Linked DNA regions of Yarrowia lipolytica. The protein of the gene in region 1 interacts with the protein of each later gene in a biochemical or structural test. Links are inferred from orthologs where the notes say so. Each region holds a gene or a part of one and is shown on either strand. Other genes may lie near its edges.

The links.
Region 2: the proteins of YALI1_F09177g (region 1) and YALI1_E33302g form a complex in vitro, tested with the Saccharomyces cerevisiae proteins (2 studies listed by BioGRID, with this or other methods). The link is inferred for Yarrowia lipolytica from reciprocal best matches to the Saccharomyces cerevisiae genes MRS6 and BET2.

What each region holds. Positions count from the first base shown.
Region 1 is NC_090775.1:913,242-923,266, reverse strand, and holds YALI1_F09177g (uncharacterized protein), read right to left. Parts: upstream 5,499-10,025; coding exon 3,798-5,498; downstream 1-3,797. Other genes in the region: YALI1_F09230g (40S ribosomal protein eS12), read right to left, coding at 182-184; YALI1_F09211g (uncharacterized protein), read left to right, coding at 2,115-3,545; YALI1_F09161g (uncharacterized protein), read right to left, coding at 6,798-7,025, 7,075-7,128; YALI1_F09155g (uncharacterized protein), read left to right, coding at 7,472-7,562, 7,608-7,634, 7,690-8,342; YALI1_F09137g (uncharacterized protein), read left to right, coding at 9,420-9,464, 9,507-9,818. UniProt on the Saccharomyces cerevisiae protein: Substrate-binding subunit (component A) of the Rab geranylgeranyltransferase (GGTase) complex. Binds unprenylated Rab proteins and presents the substrate peptide to the catalytic component B.
Region 2 is NC_090774.1:3,325,555-3,334,571, forward strand, and holds YALI1_E33302g (uncharacterized protein), read left to right. Parts: upstream 1-4,661; coding exon 4,662-5,495; downstream 5,496-9,017. Other genes in the region: YALI1_E33268g (uncharacterized protein), read right to left, coding at 1-1,235; YALI1_E33278g (uncharacterized protein), read left to right, coding at 2,243-2,415, 2,462-2,489; YALI1_E33285g (uncharacterized protein), read left to right, coding at 2,970-4,316; YALI1_E33336g (uncharacterized protein), read right to left, coding at 7,828-8,088; YALI1_E33337g (uncharacterized protein), read left to right, coding at 8,212-8,374, 8,422-8,570. UniProt on the Saccharomyces cerevisiae protein: Catalyzes the transfer of a geranyl-geranyl moiety from geranyl-geranyl pyrophosphate to proteins having the C-terminal -XCC or -XCXC, where both cysteines may become modified. Acts on YPT1 and SEC4.

The DNA.
Region 1 (10,025 bases):
CGTTTGTTTCGACTTCGTTCGGATAACGATTTGGATGCTTTTTGAGCGACCTCGAGAGATTATGTCAATGATTTGCTTCATTTTTCCTTGCAAATAAATGAGACAAATCCCATAGTTTCTCCATTTGGATCGCTCGACATCCTCACCAAGATGGCCTCGTGATTCCCTCTGTCATACTCACCATTTTTAAATGGACTTCCTCACAATTTCTGAACTGTTCAGTCTTGTTGGAGAGTTATAACGTCGAAAAGTTTCATTATTTGGGTGAACGCATGTGTGACTGTTTTCCCGATTGGGAAGTATCATGTGACCTGGTGACGATTTGGGACGGCTGCAGTTTTGGGTGTCGTGGGTTCGATTCGTGGTGTCGTAGTATTAAATTATTATCTGGAACACACTACACAGATTCACCGTATTTCCGGGCATGAAATAATGTGACTGTCTCGATAAAAATATATTTATTCAAAAATCCACCCTAGATCCGCGTCCACACGTGCTCTTAAACTTCCTGATCATGTCCGTGCAAAAACTGTGTTCTGAACAACCCCAACAGTCGAACATTTACCTACAGTTCAAGCCTTTTGTAAGGCGATTGAACTATATCGGGAGCTCCAGATAGACCTCAGTCAGCCGTTTAAAATACATATTCCGGTAGCCCGTAGAGAGACAGGGAATGTAAAGTGACTTTCATTTATTTTTCGTGCTACCAATTGACACACCCCATAGCTGCTACACCAAGTGCAAGTACATACTGCACCGGTGTGTACAGGTACTTGTACAGCACAGTGTGTATAGCCCCTCAGTCGCTTCAACAAACGGAAGCAGCCGCCCAAATACACTGAGAATGATACCAACTTCCGCTTTCTCCATTTGCTCCCATTGTTTGCAGTTTTGTTGATTCCTCAAGCCGTCCTATGCACTTCGTATTCGTCTTGAGACCGAGTCTCAGCAAATGAAACAGGCTGCTGCTGACCCTGCACACGAGAGAGGTGCAGGAGGAACATATCTCACCCAAGACTGAGACATGGGCCCATGTTGGCGCACTCGCAGCGTGTTTTACTCTTTTACTCTGTTGTTCTACCCCCATATGGAAGTGGTTGCATGAGACATAGTGTAAACATGTGAAGATACAACCACTGCACTTCAGGCGATGGTGTATTGCAACAGCTGGTTGCCTGGGACCCTTTTTTCGGAGTGCACAGAGCCGGATAAACAGACAAAAAGAAATACTAGCAGCCATTACTTCTTTTTGTATCGCCCCTTGTCTACCAATATTGAATTCTACTGGCCCCTCTAAACGAGCGTTAAAAAGTGTATCTGAAGCAGCCAGGGTCGATCTACAAGAGTTCGCTGCGGGACGAAAAAGAACAGTCTCTGACCTTTGTCTCGGACAAAACTCGGAGAAATCCAACACCTAAAGTCCACATAACTTCCATCAGTGCTTGTGTGGTGCTGCAAGTAGCTCCGAGACAAATGTGCGGTGAGACCTTGTCTAGTCGATTAACGAGGTGTTCCCGCCATTTGGCCGAGAAATTTTAACGGCGTTGAGTAAGACATGTTTTCGGGTTTGTCGAGTAATTACGGTCTGTCTATGAGTAGACATGAGACATTGGTTTGAGGTGCGACACTGTTACGTACATACTGTATCTATGGTATTCACCGTCCAAGTACACACGGACCGCTTGTACGAGACTACAGATCGCCTTAGATCCGCCGTTGCTTGTGCACATGAGGAATGTTGCTGCTACGAGATTATGTGTACTTGTATATCATTAATTTAATTCATTTTAATCTCATAAACCTCCATGCCTTCAAGCCTATCATCCTCCTGTGTGAGCAAGATCTACAATCTCCACAGTGGAGACATTCTAGCGAGCATAACGGGTTTAAGCAGTTGAAGGTATTGAAAATTGGGATCACATTTATTCTTTTTGTGTGTTTTTTCTGTTTTTTATTCAATTTTCCAGAAATTGCACTGAATACCGCCATTTTAGTCACTATCTCTCTCTTTCGGTATCTTGCCTAACATTTCCGGTCATGCACTGCGAACCCAAACCACCTTAGGCAACATCACCAAGTGGTACGCGACTACACATCACCACAGCTGCGGGACCATGAACGACTCGTTTATCCGCACTACCAGCATTCTGACAGAGCATTTCGGCTATGCGCCGATTGCTGTGGTCGACGATGTCATCAACGCGGTCAACCAGGTGCTATATACCGTGACCGACGCGATGGAGGACTTTTTGAAAACGCGCCAGGCCCGACACCTTCAAAAAATCGAACAGACCGCCAGAGACGCGTCCGACTACCAGCTACGCGTCGCCGAGCTGCCAACGACTAAGGAAATTGAAATCGGAACCGCCAAGATGGAGACGCTGCTGGAAACCAAGGTAGACGAGAAGTTTGATCTGTTTGAGCTCGACGCGTTGCGAAACGTGTTCAACGTGCCCTCTGAGCTAGTTGAAGGCGGCTGGTTCAAACTGGAGCACCACACGTTTGATGCCAAGAGCGTTTCCAAGGTCAACGAGGACGCAGAACTCGACAGAGAGATTGCCAGGCTGGAACACGAGCTGTTTGGAGGAGAAGAGTCTTTGATGCGACAACAACAACGGCTCAAGCTGGAACTCAACCGACTGAAAAGAATAGAGGCCACGGTCGCACGGTGTGGATCGAGCTTCTCTTTTCTCACAGATAGGAGTTCTGAGGCTAGTAAGTTGTATAGGGATGTTGTTCCCTTGGCGGAGAGTGTGCAGTTCCTGGTTAATTCTACTAGGGGACTTGAACCCCAAGTACGTACGGCCAAGAGGAGACGGATCGACAGAGTCAATCTACCTGCGTCTGCCAGAGATCAGTATCTGGATACAGTCACGAACCAGGCTATTTTGAAGGCTGGCTTGTGGTCTGGACTGGACGATGAGCAGGTGTCTCTAGCTGCTGAGTTCGCAAAGAGGGATCAGAGAGAGCAATATCATAGTGAAGAGCAGGAGCAGGAGCAACAGCAACAACAGCTGAAGGGGCACGAGGGAGTGCAGGAAGGAGAGCAGGAAGGGGAGCAGGAAGGAGAGCAGGAAGGAGAGCAGGAAGGAGAAGAACAGGATGAACAGGATGAACAGGGTGCACAGGACGGACAGGATGCACAGGACGAAGGCCAACTAGAGGGACAGCAAGAGGAACAACAAGGAACTCAGCAAGAGGAGCACCAGCAAGAGAATAACCCACAGCAAGAGAATGTCGCCTCACGAGAAGCACAACAACCAACCACTTCATTGCCATCTCTATCACCACCTCCAGACCCTCCCTCTGAACTGGATCCTGACGAAGACAAGGAGAACAAAGCTCCTCGAAATACAAACACTCAGACGGTTTCCATGGAGGATTTGGCCCAACCTGAACCTATGGCTGAACCTGATGGCGAAGTCGAACCAGAGACAGATCTCCTGGGTTCAGAAGTAGCCCTCTCCTCAGATCCCCTCATCTCGTCAGACTCTTTGGTCCATTCAGAGACTGAAATGGAACTGTTCGAGGTAAGTGTTGATTAGTCCACTGAGTGTCATTCCATAAATACTAACCATGTACACTAATATATACTAACGTTCTTACCGCTTCTGATGTTCTCTCAAAGTGGTTCTAGTCATCTATAAAGAACCCAATCTCACCACACTGGATCTTGCGAGCGCGCCCGCGTCCTGCTTGTCATAACATCATCTAGCTTAACTTATGTTGAGCAGAACTGCACTAGTAACGTACAGCCCTATAAATATCTATATCGTATATCCAATGTGGAACCCGTCTTACAGCTCCATGTCATCGCCAAAGTCGGGCACGTGATCGTCGTCCTCCTGCTTCTTATTCTGCTTGGCCATTCCCGTCAGCTCGTCCTCCTCGTCGTCTTCAAAGTCAACGTCAAAAAAGTCGTCGTCTGAACCCACGATCTGCGCGTAGATCTTCTTGACCTGCTCCACAATGCCGTCATAGGTGATTTCCGTTGGTGCACCTGAGGTCACAATCACAGGACTCTCGTCTCCATCGTTCTTAGCAACATCCTTGATGCTCTCCTCCAGCGGCGGAATCGACGTCTTCTGGTTGTACGACAGCTTGATCAGATACGTCAGCTTCTTCTCGGGTACAAAATCCTTCATGGACTTGCCGAGCTTCACGGACGATAGCACGGGGTCGCCGGACGGCGTGAAAATAACATCCGACTGGTCCACCTGGAACTCAAAGTCCTCGGTCGACTCCCGCAGAATCGATGCCTCCATCTTGGACAGTGCCTCCTCTAGGTCCCGCTGGCCTGTGGCTCCTCCCTGGACAGTGGAGAGGTACCAGATACATTGACCAGGAGGAACCTGGCCAGACTCGGCACCGTAGCAGATGGCCTGCACAGTCTTAGTGTTGCCGGACGACAGAGAGCCCACGGGGAACACGATGATGGCCGCGTCCTCGCCCTCGGCGAACCACTCCTTGCAGTCCATGTTGACAATTACCGTAAGATGGTTGATCTGGTACTCAGGGTTGGACGAAGGGATCTTGGAGCGCACCTGCTCGGTGATCTGGGCCTCGGACACCACCAGCTTCTCGGACCATCGCACCTTGGAGCCATCGTTGAAGATAGCCGTCTTGGAGTCCACGTCGAGCCCGGTGAGGGTTGCGTTGAGCTTGTATACGGCTCCGCCGACAGCGGCTGATCGACAGAATCCCTGCGACAGCTCGGAGGCAGATCCGTACATGGAGTAAACCACGGGAAACGCGCCGTAGGTCTCGAGGGAGACCAGGTACCGCTTGATACGGTGGAGGGCGACGGGGGTGGCGACATCGTTGGAAGAACACAGGCCAATGGACTGGACCAGCTCATCGATTTGGGTCTGTTCCAGCTGGAACTCCTTGGTCATGAACTCGACAACGGGCTTGTCTCGGTAGGGTCCCCAGACGTTGTAGAGACGTTCCCACTCGACGGTGAACTTGATGAACTTCATGAGCTGACGCTTAACGACGGGCGACATTTGCTGGGACGTGAAGATGTCCTGTTTGGACGCCGGCACCTTTTCGAAGCTGTCGTTTTCGTACGTGTGGAAGTTGGTGAGTGACCGGAACTCCAGATACTTGTAGACCCGGCTCTTGAGCAGCAGTTGCAGCATGTCCGACTTGGCAAACAGCACCCGTGGGGTCAGGTCCACAAAGTACTTTTTGGAGTCCAGGGGTCGGGGCTGGTACAACTTGGCGTTGGAGAAGACGGCGGACTCGTAATTGACCTCGTCCACCCATCTAGGGAGCTCATCGAGATTGAGTACTGCCGACGAGTCACCGTAGATGGAGTTGCGGTCCAGATGAGCCACGTTGGAGCCCTGCCATGCGAGGGCGGCCGCAAGAATTGACTCGACGATGCCCGTGCCACAGATGAGCACGTCGCAAGAGTCTACAAACGCGGGGTCCTCTGCCAGTGGCGGCACAATTGATCCTCGTTTGGATACCGATGATGCTGAGAAAGAAGACATGTGGTGTGAGAGGGGGTTGAGGGGATGTGTGGGAGAGGTGTCTGCGTTATCGAGAGAGGAGGTTTGTGGCGTGTACAGTACTTGTACTGGGACTTGGTTGGCTTCACAGGTGTAGTTGGTGTGCGGGCGCGTTGCTTTTGCGGATGCTGCGGATGTTGCGGATGTTGCGGATGTTGCGGATGTTGCGGATGTTGTTCTGGATGTGTATCTTGTTCCGCTTGTGTCGCTTGTGTGTTTGTGTCGCTTCGTTTCCTTCTGAGGTCCACCTGGCAATAGTACAAACAGATGTCGTGCACTCTTCCAGCGCTCTGGTTCAAAGATGCAGGTGTAGACTTGGAATATGGGGTATGTGCTGCGTATAGAGTTTTAGGAGGCTTGGACAGGGTGCACTAAAGTACGTGCCGAGGGGTCTCTTGGAGGGGATGTGGGGTCATGTGACGTGTCGGGACCCCCGGCAGGGGATAAATTGGCCTTTGGGGGGTTTTATACGGGCCCTAATCGCCTTTCCGACGCCCATCACGTGCCCAATGTCTGTCTCCACCATTTTCTACAGAGAAAAATTTTCACAACTTACTCTTAGTTGAACATAAATTATTGGCCCTTCTCTCCCAGATAGGCTAAATAAGGTGTTGAATTGGGTGTCATGGGAATCGGGTATAGCACGTGTTGCGGGCGGGATTTGGGCGTTGCATTGTCTCAGGGAGCTTGTGGGGGGTTGATTGACTCAAAGTCTGGGTTTTTTCCGCCTCAAATCCCCCCATAAACCCCCATTAAAGCGCTCCCTCGTCTTGTCAGTATCTGCCGTGCCAATCTTAGCTTTCGTCCAGTGCATGACTTATGTGAGCGTGGCGACATTACGAGCTGTGTGTGGATGACAGCTGGAGTGGCGTACGAGTTACGAGGGGAGCGTAGTGACACAGACCGATCTGAACAGTATAAGCAGAGGTCCATTTTCTCTTGCCAGTTCAATTGACCGCCACCTACTGAAACCGTGTTCGCTTCATCTCAACGGTCGTCCTTGTTCTGTTAACAAAGCCCAACAATACAAAGGACAGCCGAGAGATGGGGCCAGGTCATGTGATGATAATCTGCGGGTGGGTTTGCCACCGGGTACGAGCAAGTACAGGTTCGAACCGGACCGATACTGCTGAGTGTGAGTATTGTTTGGTCCATCGACATTGTTTTGACGTGTCATCGTGACTGCACTATGACGTGTGTCGTGTGACAGATTCACGCCTCCCTCGATAACTGCACTATTGTCGACCATTGCTCTCATCTCCAACCTGCCTCTTGCGGCTATTAAATTGCGGGTATATAGTCGGTCCCAACCAACCGACGCAACGTCTCATCTCCAACTTCCCGAAACGGAACTCTGTGAGCCAGCTGCGTTGGTCCTGCCCAACTGGTCTGATGGCGATGATGAGACAAGTGAGCAACTCCGCATTGGGATATTCCGACAGTGTGCTGTGCTTGTATTTGCTGCCAAAGCACCAAAGCACGAGCAATTGCTCCTGTTAGCGTAACCGACTATGAGTATTACTTGGAACGTCAACTAACTTGACTACTTGTCAAGTACGTACAAACTGGTCCGAATGACAGGACAGCAACCAAACCATTCAACACTAGACATAGTATGTACGGTACGAGCACGAGTAACGGTGCTCCTGCCTGTACGCCCACGTACTTGTACCTCGGTCAACGGTAAAACTACCGGCAATTCTCATACGATTGACCGTCTGTAACATTGTTCCGACGCTCCATCGTCGGTGCTTTTTCCGAAAAAGAACCGTCCACACGCACACGCACACGCCCACTGGCATACTTGCTGACGCACCTTCGACGACGTGCAGTTATGACCCAGAATCAGACGACATCCTGGCTCGGCTACGAGTACGGGGCACGCAGCGAAATAGCAACCGAAGGACATTCACACGACACACAGACGCAACAACAGACGTACAGAGCACTGCTGTATGTATCGCAAACGGCATTGCTACGGCCGCCTGTTGCTATCTGTTGCTATCTGTGGCCATCTGTTGCCATCTGTTGCTGCCGTCGCCGCCTGTTGCTGTTATTTTGCTAGATGAAGCACCCTAGAAGCAGGAACAGTTGCACCGGGAACGGCTTTCGGTGCACGTCAACGGCTTTCGGTGCACAACGGCTTTCGGTGCACGTCAACGGCTGCTCTGAGACTCTGCCACCTGCCGTCGTGTACGCTTTAAACACCAAACATGCTACGGTACCTTGACTCCTTCACGTGATGTCTTAGTCGACTCTCTCCCTCTCCAAACAGCAGATGGCCCTGCTTATCGTAGGAAAAAGAAGACCCGGTCACGCAAGGCAACCCAAAGCAATGCATCTACCGGGTGGAAAAAAGCAAGGTGTACAAAGTTAACTGAGCGAGAGACCGTTGAATGTTACGTTGCAGAGTGCAATTCCATCAGCTTGCTTTTTGCGCCTCCTGTTCAAACAGTACATACGGGTCTTCAAACCACAAGCACCAGCACTTGTAGATCAGTTTCCAGTTTGTTTCCCGGTCTAAACCCCATGATAGAGATGATCCGTATACGAGCAGACTCTATACGTCTTGTTTTGGGCTCCTCAACGGCCTGGATGAGACATAGCAAGCGGTACAAGCAGATGAGAGAGTGCAAACCTCAACTTTGCGGGGGACACAAGTTGGAGCTTGTGGGAATAGGCTGGAGGAATAAACGAGGACCAAAAAAGCTAACAAGTGTCCGCACAGTTGCTCAATCGCCTGATTCCCGCTTGGCACGGCAGTCTGGGTTGTGTCTATCACCGAGCAAAAGCACTTCAGAGTTGAGATGCACCGTTGTGACGTAAAAGACAGGAATATCGTACGCATTCCGGGTGGAGGAGCGTGGGTTAAGGTGGAGGTCCCTCGGGCACTCCCCCTAAAGGCCCCCGAACGGCACAAGTGATTGAAATTACCACCACCTCTGTAGCAAAGATATTACCAAACACCGCACTGGCTGTAAACCCGACAAATAGGTGTGGGGACGTGGAGACGCGGGAGCTAAAGAGGTTCTACCTCACGGGATTCGGCGCTAACAACCGTTCGTTGGCTCCGGTCCAGATGTTAATACCGCACCTGTTAATTCCATGGCTATACCGGTGCTAAACGCGTCCCCATAAAAAAGTGGTGTATATCCCTCAACCGACGGTGCTCGCTCGTACTTGCACGCTACAGCTGAGTACAGACCTGTAGTTCTGGAGTCTACAGTCAGACGCAGAGAACATGCTCAGCTGTAGGGAATGAAGAGCCCCGTTTGGGGGGGAGGGGGAGTCCATTCCAGAGACGCACAGCCTCATCCAGGCCAAAAGCTCCTGCCCACCCATTGATAACACTCTATCAACAACATTCAACGCTCTCATAAACATATGGTTTGGTCTTCAAATAGACTTGAGAAACCAACGAGTGCAAGTACACATGTTCAGGGTCAGAGTCAGATGATGGCGGTGGTCTTGAAACTAACCATGATCTCGCACACCTCAGGATCTTCCACTTTGCGTTTCATTTTCGTTTCCACATATTTTTGCTCTCTCTCTAGACATGGAGATCACGAAGATCCTGTTGTTCCATAACTGCAAGGGCGGAGAGGGACGTGTCTGCGGAGATCGTCCGTAGGGGCCCGGTGATCGCTCGACACGTGACCGCGTCGACGGTAATTGCGACTTCCGTTGTTCGTATGGCTTAGCGCTGTTGGATGAGTCGATGGTGCTACTGTAGTGTGCAAGTGTACAGTAGTGTGCTCCGAGATATTGCCACGGCGTAGGTCGGCGAGAAGCCATGGACAATCAAGTTGGAGACCCTCAGGACATATGGTTGACAAGGCAAACTAAACCGCGAGTCATCCGGTGATTCTCGTATCTCTCATCGTTATATCCCCCACTTTAGCCATGATGATCTGTTGGGTCTTTTTGAGACAGTGGGTAACCCAAGGGGTGCTTCTGTTACTCACACCAGTTAGCCCGGGTTACGAGTAGAGCGATTGTGCATACCATGTTAGCCGTGGCAGTTGGTGGTTATCTGGCTTGCACCTGGATAGTGTCTTGACATGCCGCAGCGGGAAAAAAAACAGCCCAAAACCTGACAAGACCGGTATCGTGGAGTGTTTAGCCGTAACTGTTCGGCCCTGTCTTTACCAAGGGGGCTGTGTATCCAAGAATACGAGCACCAGAGTTTGGGCTAGCGGCCAGTATGGTATGGGTCTGGTTATTATCAGGTCCTGTTTCACCCGGTGCACAAGAGAGGTAGCTCATCGTGGGCCTAGTGAGACCGCGGACAGAGTGCGATAGCGATGAGGGGATGTGAGACGGTCCGAAGGGCGATTGTGCTTGTAGGGTTCACTGGACGGCCATGGTAATATGGTCAGGAGCTGATGGATCTGGTCAGATGCAAACACTGGAATACACACAATACACACAATATTGCATGTGTCGCCACATACTCCGTCCTTGATTTCGCTTCTGCTGGCTCACGGGCCAAATATCATTTCCGAGTAT
Region 2 (9,017 bases), on another chromosome or scaffold:
GAATCGGCATTCCAGATGTTAAAGTCGCCATCGTATCCCGTAGATGCGAGAAATGAGCCCGACTTGTCAAACTGAACACTCGACACAATCTTTGTATGTGCAGGGATTGTGTGGGAACATTTTTGAGCACGCAGATCCCATATTCTGACAGATCCGTCAGCAGATCCAGATGCAAGATAGAACCCGTTACCAGACCATCCCAGACTGTATATCTCTCGGATATGGCCTTCCAGAGTCTGAATACTTCGTCCAGATCGCATATCCCACACTCTGCCTACTGCATCCAAGCCAGCAGAGGCTACTAGAGCTCCATCCGGGTGGAAGGCCACAGAGTGGACACCCTTAGAGTGTCCTTCTTGAGACAACAGCTTGGTACCGCTCTCAATGTCCCACAGAGCCCAGGTGTAGTCATAGGACGCGGTAGCAGCCCACTGCCCGCTTGGATGAACGTCTAGACCTGCGATACGGCCCTTGTGGGCTTCAGACACCGTTCTGTATGCAGTATGTTCGTTGCCTTCTGTGCTGGAATCCCAGAACAGCAGCTTTCCCTCTCCACATCCACTCAGCAAGATATTACGTGCCCATTTCAAAGCACTTACTTTATCCACGTGCCCTCTCAACACAGCCTTGGTATTCAGATTCGGTACATCCATTAGCTTGATCTCGCCGTTCCACGATGATGCAGCCAGTATAGAGTCGCTTCCAAAAGCCACGGCCCCTGCTGGACGTGTGGAAACGAACTGTGATCCCAGAAGCTGATACTGCTCTATAGGGGCCATCTTATCTCGTCGTAGGTTAACTGTCTCCACCAGGGACAATTCCGACTGTTGCTTTTGTGTCGTGAGTCGGTCCCTTGCTCTCAAGATACTGTCGTTTGTTATCTGCCTCCTTGCATCAAGCAACTCTTCACTTCCTGGCGTAAAAAACTCGTCGTCGTCCATAGAAACGTCAGAATCGCTCTCTTCGTCCTGCAGACCTTCCCGATCAAACTCGTCCACCATTAGCTGACCCAGACGGGTCCGTCGATCAGCTTTGTCTTCTGCGAAAAGAGTAATGGGCTCATTCAACGATCGTAGTTTCGCTCTAACATCCTTATCGTCTGTAGGAACATGCAGTTTTTTGAGAATATCAGCTCGACGTTGTTTTTCCAACAGCTGACGGGCCGCAACGGCCTCTTCCCGAACTGAAGAAGAGTCCACCGTCGTCTTGATCGACTCCAGATCCACAAGTTCCATGTTGGTGATGAAGACAATTAGGTTGGGAGGTGCAGAATTGATACATTTGATTACTAAAGCGATATGGAGTGCTAAAGCAGGATTATGCAATGAGTGAAAGGCCCGAATAAACTATTGTAAGGTCAGGGTTGTTCAGATTTGCAGCTAGAGAGCAAGAAATATCGGCCACTTATTAACCACAGGTTATGAGTTTCTTGCAGCTCCTGCCTGTTCGATCCCCATAACTGTGGATATTATTCACTACTTGTAGCTCTGTTTAGATAATAGCTGATGAAGATGGTGGCGATATTTACAGAAAAATCGACTTTGGAAAAAACAACAACACGCAGGCGACTCCACATGCTGCTTCGATATACTGACCTCCGCCTACCTTCCCTTCACATGAATGATAAAAAACTCGTTCGGAGTTTAGCTCTAAAAGCGAAAGTGCGGAGAATGTGGGAACAGGATACAACTATAGAATGATAAAGTGATAGAAAAAGAGCTACTGAAACGAATAATGCGGGCATAGAAATAGCTTCAGAGCCTCACGTAACTTGTGTTTAGTTTGGCCTCTCCTAATACCTCAATCATCGCTCGCTATTAGCTCTCAGATGCCAATAATAATAAGACGCAGTAGATCGCCTAAGCAAGTTTAAACGGAATGTGTTGAGGCTATTTCAGTGTGGAGGAGTTATAAAGTGCAAAGAAGGGGGAGGAAGGATGTTTGAGTTGCCGGAAGGCATTCAATATATAGGAAATTCTGTTAAGAAAGAATCTCTTCCAAGCCCCAACCGTTGGCGCCCATCAATGGTGTGTTTAATAAACCCCGCTGACAACCGCATCCATGCATTCCCCGGAGTTAATATCTCACCTCCTGATATCTAGATGCAGCTTCGAAAGCTAAAGTGGCTACATTCACTACAGACCACAGGCAGTAAGCATCCGACACACAAGTGCACCTGTCTATAACCCCCACAATTTCTTCTCTTGTTGCACACCAACACCAACACCACAGAAACACAACAATGGCGATCCCCCACTTGGAGTGTCTGCAGAAATGCGTCCACGAGCTCCATGCCCTGTTGCATCAGCACTACCACGAGTTCCAGGCTTCTCCGGTCGCTTACCTTCATTCGAAGCACGACTGCGTGAGGGCTGAGGTAATTGAGCATTTCCAGAATGCCACTACCTATGAAAAGTGAGAATAAGCGAAGGATGAGACTGTTTGAGTACTACTAACCCAGATTTCGAGATGCGGTATTTATTGTGTGAGTATACACGGTCCCATTGAGAATCAAAACGACACAAGTAAAAGGCGATCTTACAGAGATACCATTGACGCCATGACACTCACGACGTTTTACCCATGAGATCTTGGAGCAATTATTCACAGAGGCTTCTCTTGGCCGTACATCCGACCGTCCGACCGGGAGCACACGGACATGATATCAGTCATCATATGTTAGCTACGACATACAATTAACAGCTACTCGCTGTTCATGTGATTTGATCTGGAAACGATGAGCTAGAGCAACCCAGCCATGTATATACTAACTCAGCGTCATTCTCACAGCCCTTGGCAACTTCCTTTCTTTTATTCACACCATCTTTGCTGATGGACTTCAAAACACATTCCGTTTCCATGCCAGAAAAGTGACCAAAAAGATTCTCGACATTCCCTTCATCAAGGCTAAGATTGACAAGGAGACAGGGGTTGTGATTGAGAAGATCCAGAACGACATTATCGTCCGAATGCCCGGCACCCAAATCTTTGGGACTCTCCCTGCTGAAGGTATGACCAACACAGAGGTCATCACTGAGATGTCTAAGTACCACGATATGAAGCGAACCTTCTGGGAAAAGGGTCGTGTAAGTGGAGCTGTCTACCACGGAGGTAAGGAGCTCACAGACCTGCAATCCGAGGCATTCTCCCAGTTCACAGTGGCGAACCAGCTTCATCCCGATGTCTTCCCGGGTGTCCGAAAGATGGAGTCTGAGGTTGTTGCTATGGTTCTGGCTCTTTTCCATGGCCCTGAGGGCTCTTGCGGAACCTCTACATCTGGAGGTACCGAGTCTCTCCTGCTGACTTCTCTGGCCGCCAAGATGAAGGCCTACAACGAGCGAGGCGTCACACATCCCGAGATTATTGCTCCTATCACTGTGCATGCCGGCTTTGACAAGGCTGCCTACTACTTTGGAATGAAGCTGCGACATGCCCCCGTCGATCCGAAGACTATGAAGGTTGATCTGAAGGCTGTGCGACGAATGGTTACCAGAAACACCGTTCTGCTAGTCGGATCTGCCCCCAACTTCCCCCATGGTATTATCGATGACATCGAGGGCCTCTCTGATATCGCTCTCAAGCACAAAATCCCCCTGCATGTGGATGCTTGTCTGGGCTCCTTTATCGTCCCTTACCTTGAGAGAGCTGGCTTCGACAAGATCCTGTTCGATTTTCGAGTCCCTGGTGTCACTTCCATCTCATGTGACACCCACAAGTACGGATTTGCCCCCAAGGGATCTTCTATCATCATGTACAGAACACCCGAGCTTCGACATTACCAGTACTTTGTTGCACCCGACTGGACCGGAGGTATCTACGGCTCTCCCACTCTTGCTGGCTCTCGTCCTGGAGCCATCATGGTCGGATGCTGGGCCACCATGCTATCTGTCGGAGACAACGGATACTTGGAGTCTTGTAAGGAGATTGTCGGAGCTGCCCGAAAGTTTCGAAAAGCTGTGGACGAGGAGATTCCTGACCTCCAGATCATTGGAGATCCTCGAGCATCTGTTATCGCCTTCGGTTCTGACTCTGTCAACATCTACGATCTATCTGATGCCATGAGCAAGAAGGGATGGCACTTGTCGACTCTGCAGAACCCCCCAGCTGCCCACGTAGCGTTCACCAAGCCTGCTGTGGCTGCTGTAGACGATCTGGTTTCTGATCTCAAGAGCTGCATTATCGAAATGAAGAAGGCCGGCAATACCAAGGTGGAGGATGGAACGGCTGCTTTCTACGGTGTGGCTGGTTCCATCAAGACCGCTGGAGTTGCTGACCGGCTTGTGTGCGGTTTCCTTGATGGTCTATACAAGCTATAGATACTTCTCGGTATCATTCTAGTTTTCTTGAAGATGATATATGTATTAGTATGATGAATGAGCATTTACTCGAGTTGTAATTTGTATCCCTGTAATCTACTGTCTTTCCCCAACTCTATTTTGTCCCACCTCCTTATGATGATGACCGAGCTTATTTCCCTCATCCAACATCATGTCGCTGCTGAAAGAGAAACATATCAAGTATATCCAGACGTTGGACGATCATACCGACAGCCTCGCCTACTGGCTGACGGAGCATTTACGGCTGAGTGAGTATATTTGAGCTGCATTTTCGCCTCACCTAACACAGATGGTCTCTACTGGGGTCTGAATGCCCTTGATCTGATGCATGCCAGAGAGGCTCTTCCTCGTGAAGACGTGATCAAATTTGTGCTAAACTGCCAAAAACCGAATGGAGGGTTCGGAGCCGCGCCAAATCACGACGCCCACATCACTTTCACGCTTTCGGCTGTTCAAATTCTTCTGATTGAGGATGCTCTCGACAAGATTGATGCCGACCAGATTGCAGACTACATTGTCTCGCTGCACAATCAGGAGACGGGTGAGGTCTCGGGTGATGAATACGGCGAGGTGGATACTCGGTTCCTGTACATTGCTCTCAACTGCTTGTCTATCCTGGGAAAGTTGGATAGACTGAACGTGGAAGCTATGGCCAAATGGATAGCTGCTTGCCAGAATCTTGATGGTGGCTTTGGAATGGTTCCCGGAGCAGAGAGTCATGCTGCTCAGGCCTTCACATGCATTGGAGCTCTCACTATAGCCGGAAAGCTGGATCTGATAGATGGGGATTTGGCCTGTTGGTGGCTCAGTGAACGGCAACTGCCAGAGGGAGGACTCAATGGTCGACCGGAGAAACTGCCGGACGTGTGTTACTCGTGGTGGGTGCTGTCTTGTCTGGCCATGATGAAGAAGCTGCATTGGATCAACCGAGACAAACTACGAGATTTCATTTTGAAAGCTCAAGACGAAGATGATGGAGGTATTGCTGATCGAGAGGGTGACGTGGCCGACGTATTTCACACGAATTTTGGCCTCTGTGGCTTGTCACTGCTGGGTACAGATGGTCTGGATCAAGTGAACCCTGTCTACTGTCTTCCCCAGAAGGTTATGCATAGAGTCAAGCAGGATCCTTGGAACGGTAAGGATTTGAGCAAGTAAGGGCTGGGATATGAATGAATTATGAGACATCAGCATTGCATAAGTGTAAAACCGAAGGCGCGAAGCCATTACAGTAGTATCGTATCTCAGATTGAGATTCAAGCACAGATTGACCTCCATTGCCAGATACAGATTATTATCCGCCGGAATCGTATGATTAAAATCATTGCCAGTGTCATAGTAGCATCCTGATTGTATGAAGGAACTCGTATCATCAGATCACTACTGTATCTCGCAAGATATCAGACATAGTCAGGTAACATTATCTGACTTACCGGAGCACTTCGTGAGCAACACATCCGATATCGTAAGATCTATGACGTTACTGTAACAAAATGGTACGATCGACTCATTTTTGTACCACTGTTGGCCGAACACGTGATGTTGGAAGGGTTGATATAGCATCATCCTTCCTATACCCGGTCACTCTCATGTCATTATATTGTACATCTGATTTACCGGTTCTTTGTCTCCATGTGGCAGTTGTGATAGACCAAGAGAGCTGCAGCTACATACAATAGCTCATTGGCTCATTGGCCTTCTGTATAATTCCAGAACCATTTCTGTAATGCAGGTTCATATGTTGCTCCTGATGTATTTGTTAAAGGAAGTCGAACGACTGGAACGCAGGATTAATATGCGTGGAAATAGGTACAGTATCAACAAGCGGACTCTGTAGATTGTATCCACCCATCTTGATATACTAGATGTACCCACTCATATCCATAGTAACACTGGCCATCGCCAAGAGGACCTTTCCACGTCGTATTCTTAATAGATTTCTTTTTGTTACTATTTATCTGCTGTCCCGTAACTCACCACTGCAGAGAATCGTCTGGATGCATATCTGTGCAGCAGGGCAGATGAACATGATGTATGGGTAGATGGCTGCAGAGCCATTTCGGGAAACGGCCCGTGCCACATGCATGTGGCTGGTGTTAGGAGCTATGCGGCTACATCCGAGTTATTCGTTTCGCACTCTTCCCGTTTCGAACTGTGTGGTTATCCGAGAAAAAGCACGCTTGGCAAAACTCCATCGTTTTGTTTTACAGTTACACTCTACAAGTAGTGCGATATTAGTGGTCTTATCTGTAGGTTAACCTTGAAAGTGGCCTGTTCTGGGACACTTATTCATGATAAAGTGGAGAAGTGGAGAAGTGGGGAAGAGGAATTAAGCTCCTTATATTTTACCAAACTGTCGTCAAGATAAGTCCCGGCCATCTTGATGGTTCTACTTCTACGAGTACTGTACCTTTACTTGTAAGTGTGTACTTGTGAATGAAGAGAGAGAAGTAGAGCAGTGCGTGACAACCAGTATGCTCTTGAAGAACAACTTTTGGTAATGCCAGAACATGTACAAATAGTATCTGATTTGTAAGGGGGATTTTTGTCCATACCATATACTGTAGCTACAAGTACTGTAATTCCAATACAACTACTTGTAGTGATAATTATATGAAACATGTGAGTTCTTCAAGACAAGTCTCCACGCAAATCAATAGTACTGTACTGAAATCGTGGAGAAAAACGGAAGGACTACAAGTATACAGTAACTAAGTATCATTAAGAAGTCCATATATTCAACTACAGTACGTACCGTACAGTAATAACTTGCAACAGTCGTTTGTGGGCATTTTCTTGCCTCCACAAATTCAGCAGAACTCTAACCGATATAAGCTACAATTAACCTCAGCATTTTGTGCTCACGAAACGGCCAGAATAACGGTCCGAATTGACCGTGGTTTTGTGAGGTGATAGATTGGAAGAGTAAAAGACACGTGACCACACGACACGCATGCATCTCTGGAGTTATTCGAGCAAACCTGGCTTTTTGTCCCAGTCCCAACTTACTGTAGCCAGATACTTTAATTGTGGATGTACAGTAGTTACATAGTAGGTATAGCCCAAAACGGACTGGTGAGATTGAGTGGAAGACAATTTCTTACTGTACAGTAGAAGTTCTACATATACTGCAACCATAGCCTCCTCAATTAAGGATTACAGAAACTAGTTTTTTTCGTAATAATTTTATTGCTAGAATGCAAAACATGTCAGAAGAAGAAAAACCGACACGTTTATAAATATAGTGATAAAGGATCCAAGGTAGAGAAGAATCAAAAGAGAAACAAGACAGGGCAGTAGCCATTGAGAACCAATGTAGACAAGCAGATGGAGTAAAAGAGTCACGTTTTTGTAAGATTCCAGAGTTCTGTGTATATCAATGGGTTGTGCTGGCTGCAACGTCGAATGTCGTAGTTCTCTGAATTGATAGCTTCTCCGAGGGTTGATTATCAAGTGCAAAATGATTTGTTGTTTGATGTAGTTGAGCATTTTAAGCAGACTCAGGCTTCTTGTTCATGAATCGAGGGTCAAAAGTGGAGTGACCAAAGGACTGGTAGATACCGGCCTGCTTGTCAAACTTGACTCGCTTGTAGGCGTAGACACCAAAAGCCCAGCCCAGAACGGGGGTAAGCCATAGAGCAAGGGTCTTGAGGTTACCAGCAGTTCGCACAAAATCTCGTCCGTGGGGGAGGTAAGAGACGGAGTGCTTAATGAAGGGGTTGATGGCGAGCTGGGGTCGAGAGGGCTGCATTGTGGTTTTGTTTTAAGTGATTGGGAAGATCAGGTGATGTTGTTTAATGGGGAGATATACTAGCCACATTCGGCTTCCTATTTATACCTGAGAGTGACCACGAGGTATGGTTGACATGGCCTGATGTCGCACACAAGGTTTCTTTGTCTAGACACTAGCCACCGGATTCCAGCCACCCGGGTTGCATTGCACACGCATGCTTACTTCCGTGTGCCGGGGAGGGCCACGCTGTGCCACAGGCTGAGTCTAAACCAAAAAGCTAGAATGAGAAAATTGTGGCGCAACTGTGGCTAGAAAAGTTAGCCGTTGAAATAGACTAAAAACGGCAACTAGGCACATTGAAATCAATTGTTCACCTGTGTCTAGGAACAAGAATTAAATACAGGGACACACATGCTTGCATACATACAGTGCAGACAACATCCCTTTTCCCCACTTCTTACACATCTCTACAGACACACAGACACCGCCTTTGTAAATAAAGTTGTCTCCACGCAGATAGCCACAATGGGCTCATGTTGCCGCATAAAACATTGCGCCATTGAAGATGGTGTCATGTCCAACATGGTACGTCGTACGATGATTAAGGGGCCTATGAGACGACATTTTTTTCGGTAAGAATACGGCGGTAGGACAATCGTCACTCGAATTGCTTCCAATATCGCTAGGCTGCTTTGGTGTCCTTTGCTGAGTTTTCTTTTGCTGAGTTTGGATTGCTTTTGCTCTCTCCCAGTCTTGCAATGTAAGGTAATGTAAACAGCGGTTTTGTGTACAAGTACGATACTGTAGTTTCTTTTGCTGATTCGCACTCAGTGTGTGACACAAAGGGTTTGGATTTGTGGGTGATTTGTTATGGTCGGTTTGCTGTAGAATGTCGAGAGGTTGCTCTTAGATTAGTGTAGCTAATCTCGCAACATGTTTGAACGAGA